Cricetulus griseus: one gene and its partners. The protein of the gene in region 1 purifies or fractionates together with the protein of each later gene. This does not show direct contact. Links are inferred from orthologs where the notes say so. Each region holds a gene or a part of one and is shown in the gene's direction. Other genes may lie near its edges. The genes, in order: Nelfe, Nelfcd and Nelfa.

Region 1 (3,660 bases):
TTACTCAGGAAACCTAGGTGGCTCCTACGTTTCTGTTTTCCACATTGGTGCTGCTAGGGTGGGATTGAGGGTTGAGTAAACCAAACCCTTATTTTAAAATAGCATAGCAAGCCAGGTGGTGGCAGCACGCCTTTAATCTCGGCACTCGGGAGGCAGAGACAGGCAGATCTCTGTGAGTTCAAGACCAGCCTATCTACAGAGCAAGTGCCAGGATAGACTCCAAAGCTACACAGAGAAACCCTGACTCGAAAACAAACAAAAAGACAAGCATCATCGCTGGGCGTTGGTGGCGCACGCCTTTAACCCCAGCTCTCAGGAGACATAGGCAAAAACCAAAGAAAAAACCAAGGGGAAAAAAAAAAAGACCAGCATCATCAAGAGAAGCCAAGAAGAGAGGGAAGAGGAACTCTGCTGGTCCACACTAACATGGGTGTCTATCCCTTCCCAGGACCCTGAGAAGGGGCCTGCCCCCACTTTCCAGCCGTTCCAGAGGAGCGTATCTGCTGATGAGGACCTGCAGGAGGTAAATGGCCGGGGTTGAAGACAAAAGACCCACAGATTTTGGATCCCGTTCGAGCACCTGGGAATCATATTAATTGTTCTTTATCTTCTTTTTCCCCCCCTCAGTCATCCAGACGTCCCCAAAGGAAATCTCTATATGAAAGGTTAGAGAGAAGCCACAGTTTGCTGTGGGGTCAGTGGCCAGAGTCATTGGAAGGTTCAGGGCTGGAGTGGAAGGAGCAGGCTGCAGGCGGAGTGTGTCTGTAAGAAGATGGAGCCCCCTTGTCCTTACTGTCTGCCTCTCCCCAGCTTTGTGTCTTCTAGCGATCGGTTGCGGGAACTGGGACCAGATGGAGAAGAATCAGAGGGCCCCGGGGCTGGTGATGGCCCACCCCGAGGTTTTGACTGGAGCTACGAAGAACATGGTGGTGCCCGCTCCTCAGCGTCCCCTCCCCGAAGCCGCAGCCGCGACCGAAGTCATGAGAGGAGCCGAGATAGGGACCGGGACAAAGACCGAGACAAAGACCGGGATAGAGACAGAGACCGTGACAGAGATAAAGACAGAGACCGGGACAGAGACAAAGACAGAGACCGGGACAAAGATAAAGACCGGGATCGAGACAGAGACCGCGAACGGGACCGAGAGCGCGAGGGCCCTTTCCGCAGTGCGTGCTTTTGGCCAGGGTTAGGTGGGCCCTGCTAAAGAGGGGGGTGACTGGGACTCAGTAGTGAATGACTGTAATTCCTGACCCACAGGGTCAGACTCATTCCCCGAAAGGAGGGCCCCTCGGAAGGGGAACACACTTTATGTGTATGGAGAGGACATGACGCCCACCCTCCTCCGAGGGGCCTTCTCTCCCTTTGGAAACATCATTGACCTCTCCATGGACCCACCCAGAAAGTAAGGACGAGCCTCCTGGGGAGGGAGCTGTGTGGGGACACTAGGGCCATGGACCACTACTGATCCCGCTTTTTCTCACCTCAGCTGTGCCTTCGTCACCTATGAAAAGATGGAGTCTGCAGATCAGGCCGTTGCTGAGGTTGGGACTTCTCAGACCCCTCCCTCCTGTCCCTCCTGTCCACCTCTTCTCCCGACTGAGAAAAACTCTGTCCTCAGAGCCCTGTCTGGTCCCCTGGCTCCCTGTAATGCCCACCTCTGTCCTCCCATTGTATCCCACAGCTCAATGGGACCCAGGTGGAATCCGTGCAGCTCAAAGTCAACATAGCCCGCAAACAGCCCATGCTGGATGCTGCTACTGGCAAATCTGTCTGGGGTTCCCTTGGTAAGGATGGGATTCTTCCCTCATCTCCTCTCTACAGCACACTACTCCCTAGAGTGCTAAGGGTGAAGGTTTGCGCTAGGCAGCTGATAGAGAATTGCCAGGCTGTCTGTCGAAGGGGAGGGAAGGGGAGGGGAGGGGAGTGACTGGCATGGGGAGTAGAGCAAGAACCATGTTGCCCCCTCTGAGCTGGGGTGGTGTCAGAACTTGAAATTGTGAGTCTGGAACCATCAAGAAATGGGAATTGTAGAGAAAAGGGTGACCCAGGACTGGTTTGGGGGATCAAGTACGTTAAGAAGCTGGCTGGGCTCTGTCTCCAGCAATCCTGGCCTGCCAGGAGGAAGTGGCAGCTTCATTGAAGGAGCCATGAGGCATCCCCCGAGAGCAGCCCCAGAAGCCCTGGGCCATGGACCCAGGCTCTGAGGAGGAGGGGCAGTCAGCAGAGGCAGAGTACAGGACCAGAGTTGGGGGGGGGGGTGCTGCCTCTGGCACCACAGGTGTAGGATGGAACCTTTGGCTGAGGAGTGTAAGGAAAGAGCAGCTGAGCACTTGGGATCTGAGGGTTCCACAGAAGACGTGTGTGGGGTTCCTCAGTGTGGACAGCCCACTCTGCCTGAAACAGATTTTCAGAGCAAGAGGCCCTGCAGACACCAGGAAGGAACCAGAATCGACCAGGATACCGGCAAGGGCCACAGAGATGTTCTCATCTTTAATTTCATGTATTTCATGATTTCATCATTCACATGTCTCACGCACAGTAACAAGGTTCTGCGTTCTCTAAGCCATAGTGAGACTCTGGCCACCAGGGGGCAGCATAAGCACTGGTAGGCCAAGGCCAGGGCGGAGATAATCAGACTCAGACCTCAGGTCTAACCTGTGAGCTGCTTGACATCTTAATTGTCCCTTTCCTCCCTCCTCAGCTGTCCAGAACAGCCCTAAGGGCTGCCACCGGGACAAAAGGACCCAGATTGTGTACAGTGACGATCTGTAGGAAACCTGTGGATGGCTTTTAGGACACGAAGCTGGATTCCTTGTGCCTCGTATGCCCCCAAGCTGGTCTCAGTAAAATCCTGGGGCAGAAGTTCCCTCACCCCCTTCAGCCTCTAGTCTTTCAACACTTGGGATCGGGGTTAAACCTTCAAAAGTGGCTGTCAGTGTTGATGTTACTTGTAGCAACATGACCAGTGCACACCCCCTGACCCCTTACCCCCAAAAGATGAAGAATACAGTCCTTATCGCAGCTGTTTTAATTTGACCCTCGCCCCTCCCAGCCGGAAGCCCCTCATAGGAAACCCAAATCCTCATCTTTGAGTTTCTCCTTGAGCCAGGGGAGCACCTGGAAAAGGTTGACATGGAAGTCCCGGGCATGAGCAGGTACCATCTGTTGCCGCCTCTGCCCTTTACAGACATCCACTACGCCCCAGCTGATGACACCGACCTGTGCAGGTGAAGGGTGCCATGGGTCACTTGACACTTCATAATCCCATAAAGCAGCCAAGCTGACCCAAAACAGTACACCAGGGGCCCAGCTCGCACTGTCTTCCTTGGTGCACATAGGCCAGATGCTTGGCTTATAGTCAGCCACGTGCATCAAGCGTTCCTTTTTGTGGTATATGTGGCCCCTGGGCGTCTCCCCCACAGACTCACTTGAATAAAGCGGCTCCTCTTGTGAACAATGAGAGGACCCCCAGAATCTCCTGTGGAAGAGAGAAGCTGTAGGGAAAGACGGCTGGGCCCTGTGGGCTTCACCATAGCCAGAGAGCCACCTCACCTTTGCAAGTATTGGGGTCAGCATAGGGGTCCACCCCGCCAGTGCAGAGGAACCTGGGGGTGACCACCTCAGACACATCCTTGACCTTGTCATAGCCTTGTGCCCTCA
Region 2 (3,646 bases), on another chromosome or scaffold:
ACCGCTCTGAAAGTGGGGTCCCCAGATGCTGACCTTGGCCTTTGGGTTATATGGCAGCTCATTTCTGATGCGGGGTACCAAGGGGAGATCACCAGCGTGTCCACAGCCTGCCAGCAGTTGGAAGTGTTCTCCAGAGTGCTCCGGACCTCTCTAGCCACCATCTTGGATGGAGGAGAGGAAAACCTCGAGAAAAATCTTCCTGAGTTTGCAGTAAGCCCCTCTGAGTCTCAGGTGGAAGGGGGTTGCCTGAGGTCGGGCTTTGGGAGTGTCCCGTCCCCCTCCCCCCTCCCCGTAAAGCACCTCCAGGTCAGAGAACCCTGGCCAGAACCCCTTTTGTCTGCATTTAGCCCTGTGACCTGAACTTTGTCTCCCTGCAACCTTGTAGAAGATGGTGTGCCATGGGGAGCACACATACCTGTTTGCACAGGCCATGATGTCCGTGCTGGCCCAGGAGGAGCAGGGTGGCTCTGCAGTGCGCAGGGTCGCTCAGGAAGTCCAGCGCTTCGCCCAGGAGAAGTAAGAGATGCTTTCACTTGCCCTGCTCTTCTTTATCCTCAGAAAAGCTGTGGTCCTAGTCCACGGCTGGGCCTAGTAGAGGGCTGTGCTGTTGGCTCTTTGCTAAGAACGTGGTACGTGCTGTGGGCACTTGTGCTCGCTTGTGCTAGGAGACATTGAACAGCAGAAAAGCCCTGGCCTGGTCTCCAGTGCCCTGCTTCTTCATGGAGTCCGAGGTGCTCATTTTCTGCTGCCAAGTCTTCCCTAATGAGGTGTGCAGGGTGTGAGAATCCCTCCTGGAGGTTACAGCTACATCAGAGTCTTTCGCAGCTCATTGTAGCTGTTGTTCCCAGGGGTCAGTTAGTCAAAAGAGTAAATGACAGAACTGTGGGAAATCACAGGGGTCCCCACCAGCTCAGCAGTGAATGTTTAAAAGTGAAAGAAAAAAGAAAGCTGTTAGTGATGGTGTGTGACTTTCCAACCAGAGGCCATGACGCCAGTCAGATCACGCTGGCCTTGGGCACAGCTGCCTCCTACCCCCGGGCCTGCCAAGCTCTCGGCGCCATGCTGTCCAGGGGAGCACTGAACCCTGCAGACATCACAGTCTTGTTCAAGATGTTCACCAGCATGGACCCTCCTCCTGTGGAGCTCGTAAGCTGCCTATGCTTCGTGAGGCCAGGTGCCCCACGCCAGGTGTCAGGGTGGCTCGGGGAGGCCTCCAGGTCCCCTCATTCTCTTCAGGCCATGCCTGCTGGTCCCTGTGGAAATAGTTTTCATCATTAGAGTCAAGCTGGTCTCAAACTGGGCTGGCCCTCCTGCCCTGGCTTCGCTGGGTGCTAGGGGATACAGGCACAGCTACACCTGGCATAAGCCCTCCTCCTAACTTGGCTGGCACTACTAGAATTGAAGCCAGTACCTGTCACATTCTAGGCAAATGTTTCACCACAGAGGTACGCCCTGTGCTCTTGAGCTCTCCATTTCCACCCTTTCCTTCAGCCTTCACCCTGTCAGAGCCCTACAGGTGGGTGAGCCAGGGCCTCCCTCCTTCCAGCCCACTCCCGAGTATGCCTCTCCTTAGATCCGGGTACCTGCCTTCCTGGATCTGTTCATGCAGTCACTGTTCAAGCCAGGAGCCAAGATCAACCAGGACCACAAGCACAAATACATCCACATCCTGGCTTACGCCGCTAGCGTGGTGGAGACCTGGAAGAAGGTACTGTCGGCGCTAAGAACCTGTGGCCTCCTCGGCTCTGGTACTGTGTGGGGATTTGGCTGCAAGAACCTCAAGCCCGTGTAGCAGTGAAAATGCCTTTACCATTGTGTACAAGATCCCGAAAGAGCTCAGTGCCTGCAGGGTTTTGTGACATCCTTTACACTAGGACTGGGTAGTGGGATCCAGTTGAGTTTCTTGAGCCTCCCACACAGCAGCCTGTGACTCCTGGTTTCTGTGGGCTGTGTGACTGTGCAGTTTGACAGTTGAATTGACTTTTGACTCTGCAGATAGGGAAGGGGCCATCCCGGGGTACCCCACAGCAAGGCCACACTCCCATCATCACTCACCAGCTTGTATGGTTTCAGAACAAGCGGGTTAGCATTGGCAAAGATGAGCTGAAGTCCACGTCGAAGGCTGTAGAAACTGTCCACAATTTGTGTTGCAATGAGAACAAAGGGGCCTCCGAGCTGGTAGCCGAGCTGAGTACACTCTATCAGTGCATTAGGTGAGTGTGTCCCCCGTCTCCATCCGGTCCCTGGGGTGCCAGTCCTCCTGTCCCCATGGTTGGAGGGTGCACTCTGATGTGGAGCCAGCAAGAGCTCAGGTTTCTCATTCTTAGCACACATGGAGAAGTTAGCTGCGGCAGCATGAGTGTTTTTAGGTGCTCTTTGGCCAGGAATCTGTTCAGCAGACCCCCACAGAGCAGAGAAAGGACATCCAGAATTAGAAAATTGATTTAAAGAAAGTAGTAAAGCTACTAAGCCAAGACTCTGAAATAAGGGGGAGTGTGAGCCCAGGCTTTTGTACTGGTGATCATTTCCTTTTCGGTTCTGGAGGGTCTGAAGGAGCTGAGGATCAAATCCCTTCTGAAGGAGTTGGTCTCATCAAACCACTTCCGCCGTGAGCCACTCCTGCAGGCCAGAGTGAAGGGAGTGTCACTGGGGGTTCCCCAGACTTTGTCTGTCCTTGCTTCCCAACCCTTTATTGTTCCTTGGTGTATTTCAGCCTCCTTTCCCCTGTTCTTGGTCAAAGGAAGCCTCGTACCTTATCTTTCTGTAGGTTCCCGGTAGTGGCGATGGGTGTCCTGAAGTGGGTAGATTGGACGGTGTCAGAACCGAGATACTTCCAGCTACAGACTGACCACACACCAGTTCACCTGGCCTTGCTGGATGAGGTAAGGGGACGGAAGGGCCACTTGTGAGGTATACGGCGGTCTGTGTCTTGGATCTTTGCCCTGAGGTAAGGTTAGGAGACACTCTCTTCAGAGCTGGTGGTTTGTGTCCGGTGGGAGGCTCTCCTTTCAAGAACCCTGTAGATGTGTCTATCAGGTGTTACCAGAAGGGAGGCCTAGAACCTGATGAGTGCTGTCCCCGTCAGTGGTGAGCCACCTTGGTTGGCTGGACAATCCCGTGCATTCCCTGTGTACTGCTAGTGAGCCCAGAGAACCAGTAGGTGCCTCAGTGCCACCTCCTTGGCTGCCCACAGATCAGCACCTGCCACCAGCTCCTGCATCCCCAGGTTCTGCAGCTGCTTGTTAAGCTTTTTGAGACTGAACACTCCCAGCTGGACGTAATGGAGCAGGTGAGCTGCACCCCGGGGCTTGTTGGGGCTTGGGAAAGCCTCTGCCAGCTCTGACCTGCTCCCCTGGCCCTGCTCTTCCACAGCTCGAGTTGAAAAAGACCCTGCTGGACAGGATGGTCCACCTGCTGAGCCGTGGCTATGTGCTTCCTGTGGTCAGTTATATCCGCAAGTGCCTGGAGAAGCTGGACACCGACATCTCACTCATTCGCTACTTCGTCACTGAGGTCAGTAGCACCAGGGCTTCAGGGCTCACTCAGTTCAGTAGCCCAGCCCTTCAGGCTTCATGTCATCTCTGCGGTTCCCAACTCTGAGAGCCATGCTCTCGGTAATCATGGTGACACTGGTGGTTTATTAAAT
Region 3 (3,267 bases), on another chromosome or scaffold:
CCCCAGTGCCCTGGAGACCATGCCTTGCATATAGGTGGGAAGGGTGAGCCAGCCAGAGCAGCTCTTCCCCAGAGGCTGTCTGTAGAAATAGAGATGGGCTTTAAGGGCCGTAGGTGCAGAGGACACATGTATAGAGGCAGAGTGTGGCCCTGTGGCATGGTATGGTCATGTCTCTGAGCTCTTTCCATTACTCAACTTCTTTCCTCAGGTGTCAATTTGGGACAATTGGGGTGGTGGCCATGGCCTAAATTTGGAGTCCAGTATCACTAAAGCCAGTGGCCTGGAGAAGCCACTGTCCCTGTCCTGGGGATATGAGTACCTGCCATCTTGCTTCATTGATGGGCAGGGGCTGATGGAGGCTGTCTAGGATACCCCAGGGAGGTATACTGAAACCTGACCTTTGCCTGAAGAGATCATGGCCCTTGTCTTCCAGAAACTTGGGTCTTTGAATAGTGAGCCAGCACTTCCCTCTACAAGTTACCTGCCCTCTACCCCCAGTGTGGTACCTGCCTCATCTTACATCCCCAGTTCTGAGAACCCCCCAGGTAAGTAGCCTGCAGTATGCTAAGCCAGTATTCCCTCAGCCCATAGAAGGACTTGCCCTGGGGTTACCGAAACTGAGCTTAGTATGTGCACCTAGGAAGTAGCCTTGCTCACATGGTGCTTCTCAGCATTGAGACACCTGTCTCAGTGTCTCTTGATCCCAGGCAGCATGGAGGGAACTCCTCCTGGCCTAGAAATAAGCCAGAAGTCCTTGATTTTAGTGAACAAGTGGCTGCCAAGATTGGTACCCTGTTCTCTGGGTGGGTAAGGATCTGAGGATTGTCTCTTCCCAAATGAAGGATACTACAGAAGGATGATTCCTTCAGGGTCAGATGTAAGCTTGGATTAGTCAGTTGCTTGGGTGGTTGGTTCCTTTGGGCTCAGCTTTGTCTATTGTTAGTGGGTCGAGGGTCAGCCCTGCTGAGGTTTGTGGAAGCTACTTCCCACCAGCACCCAGGTTATGGGGAATTTACCATAGGCCAGGAGCTAACCAGAGTCCTGGATAACTTAATCTGTGGATCTAGGAATGCCTGAGGACATAGGTTCTGCCCTGCTGGGTAGTAGTGCACAGGGCTCACGTCCCTGCCTGTGAAGGCCAGTAAGGGCTTCTGGTCAGCAGTGATAGAAGACAGCAATTGGGTATGGGTCACAGTTGCTGCCAGAACCTGGAAGAGCCTATTGCCTCTCCAGAAAATGGTGTTAGTACAGGCAGCCTGGAGACGAGTCTGGGATGAGTAGATTAGGGATGTACTTCTCTTCCTGGACAACCCTCCTTAGTAACCGTGCTTTGCTTGCAGCCCCTCCTTCCCGGGAAGCCAGCCGACCACCTGAGGAGCCCAGTGCCCCAAGTCCTACACTGCCAGCTCAGTTTAAACAAAGGGCACCTATGTATAACAGTGGCCTGAGCCCAGCTACACCAACACCTGCAGCACCTACCTCGCCTCTGACACCTACTACTCCTCCAGCTGCCACTCCTACTGCTCAGACACCCCCAGTGGCCATGGTGGCCCCGCAGACCCAGGCACCTGCCCCTGTTCAGCAGCAACCTAAGAAGAACCTGTCCCTCACAGTAAGTACCCTGGCAGGTTTCATGGCCATTAGGTGGATGACATAGCTTTGCCTGTTAGTAGCTGGGGTGTTATGGGACGAACCTGGCAGGGCCAGTGGGTGGAGGAGGCAAGGTGGCCTGGGCAGCTCCCACACTCACGTCCTCTCTTTACAGAGAGAACAGATGTTTGCTGCCCAGGAGATGTTCAAGACGGCAAACAAGGTCACTCGGCCAGAGAAGGCCCTCATCCTGGGCTTCATGGCTGGTTCTCGAGGTGTGTCTGTGCTACTAGGCCTGGGAGGTGCCCCCCGTGGGGTGGGGGATGGGTTCCTTGGCCCCAGGCACCTGCCCAGCAGCCCCTGCTTCCTACAGAGAACCCATGCCCGGAACAGGGGGATGTGATCCAGATCAAGCTCAGCGAGCACACAGAGGATCTGCCCAAGGCAGACGGCCAGGGCAGCACCACCATGCTAGTAGACACAGTGTTCGAGATGAACTACGCCACGGGCCAGTGGACACGATTCAAGAAGTACAAGCCCATGACAAATGTGTCCTAAGGGCCATCTCCGCTGCTGACCCTCATCAGGCCAGAAGACAAGTACTGCTGGCTATGCTAAGTGACCTGAGCAGATACCGAAGGATGTGCTCCACCCAGCACCTGTCATTCACAGGCTACTGGGCCCCAGGCTGTTTTTAAGTTTTAGATCATTTCTCTGGGGAGTTTAGGCTTATTTTTTATATATACATATAATTATTATAATGGGTTAGTTTTTGTGTGATTAAGTTACCTTTTTTGGGGGGTTCAATATTACATTTTGAATGCTAAACCAAAAAAGTTACAACTTCATTTTAGTGCCTGATAAGACTATTACCTTCTCTTTTTTTCTTTAAAAAAACTGCACTGGCTGAGAGGAGGTTCTCTGCTTGTGCATGCCTTCCCTCCTGAGGCTGAGGGGACCAAAGGTGACACCTGGCAGGCTAGGGCGTGAGGGGGGCTATGACCAGCCTCACGGTTACTGACTGCCAGGGATTTCTATGTCTTTTGTACAGTTGTAAACATTTCAAGCCTGTCTCTGGGTAACTATTTTCATTGTAAAATGATATGAGTATTAAAGTTTAGTTTTTCTAAAGAAAGCCCACAGAGCTATGTTTCAAGCTAGCTTGGCTCCCTGTTCTGGGACCAAACCCCCTCCCTGTACACCTGTCAGAACCCCAGGGGAGAAGAAGCAGAGCTGGGAGATAAAGAGTCTACCTGAAAATAAGTAGGCAATGGGCAGGGCAACCTTGGGGTGTGAGGTCACAGTCACAGGGCAACAACAGGGAATGTCAAGGCCGCAGCATTGGGAAATGGGCCGATGCCTGCTGTCTTAAATTCATAGCACCCAGGAAGTTGGAGAAGTCAAACATAGTTCCATATAAAATAAGTGTAAGAAAAAGGCCTTTAAAGTTTTTTAATAAAAAAATACTCAATACAGTTTTCCAAACACAACTTTCCACTTAAATGCTATTTTTCCCCCAACTGGTAATTCTTGTCTATATTTCGGTATTACTTCCCCCCTCCCCCGCAAACTTCAAGTTTTTAAGCCTTCACTATCAGATCTGGTGACAGTACCCAGCATTCCTAAAAGGAACCTGACTATATTGTATGAAGTTTAGACACCAATAGGCACATTTAA

Evidence for each region.
Region 2: the proteins of Nelfe (region 1) and Nelfcd purify together in Homo sapiens (affinity purification with mass spectrometry; 9 studies listed by BioGRID and IntAct, counting the BioPlex papers as one, with this or other methods). This does not show direct contact. The link is inferred for Cricetulus griseus from reciprocal best matches to the Homo sapiens genes NELFE and NELFCD.
Region 3: the proteins of Nelfe (region 1) and Nelfa purify together in Homo sapiens (affinity purification with mass spectrometry; 9 studies listed by BioGRID and IntAct, counting the BioPlex papers as one, with this or other methods). This does not show direct contact. The link is inferred for Cricetulus griseus from reciprocal best matches to the Homo sapiens genes NELFE and NELFA.

What each region holds. Positions count from the first base shown.
Region 1 is NW_023276806.1:231,395,932-231,399,591, forward strand, and holds the end of Nelfe (negative elongation factor E), read left to right. Parts: intron 1-448; coding exon 449-523; intron 524-627; coding exon 628-665; intron 666-810; coding exon 811-1,166; intron 1,167-1,257; coding exon 1,258-1,402; intron 1,403-1,486; coding exon 1,487-1,541; intron 1,542-1,681; coding exon 1,682-1,784; intron 1,785-2,701; coding exon 2,702-2,772; 3' UTR 2,773-3,021; downstream 3,022-3,660. Other genes in the region: Cfb (complement factor B), read right to left, coding at 3,064-3,219, 3,429-3,478, 3,553-3,660. UniProt on the Homo sapiens protein: Essential component of the NELF complex, a complex that negatively regulates the elongation of transcription by RNA polymerase II.
Region 2 is NC_048599.1:4,650,473-4,654,118, reverse strand, and holds part of Nelfcd (negative elongation factor C/D), read left to right. Parts: intron 1-57; coding exon 58-210; intron 211-385; coding exon 386-516; intron 517-980; coding exon 981-1,146; intron 1,147-1,573; coding exon 1,574-1,708; intron 1,709-2,073; coding exon 2,074-2,213; intron 2,214-2,767; coding exon 2,768-2,882; intron 2,883-3,193; coding exon 3,194-3,289; intron 3,290-3,372; coding exon 3,373-3,513; intron 3,514-3,646. UniProt on the Homo sapiens protein: Essential component of the NELF complex, a complex that negatively regulates the elongation of transcription by RNA polymerase II.
Region 3 is NW_023276807.1:102,927,691-102,930,957, reverse strand, and holds the end of Nelfa (negative elongation factor A), read left to right. Parts: intron 1-433; coding exon 434-545; intron 546-1,340; coding exon 1,341-1,612; intron 1,613-1,765; coding exon 1,766-1,865; intron 1,866-1,963; coding exon 1,964-2,148; 3' UTR 2,149-2,726; downstream 2,727-3,267. UniProt on the Homo sapiens protein: Essential component of the NELF complex, a complex that negatively regulates the elongation of transcription by RNA polymerase II.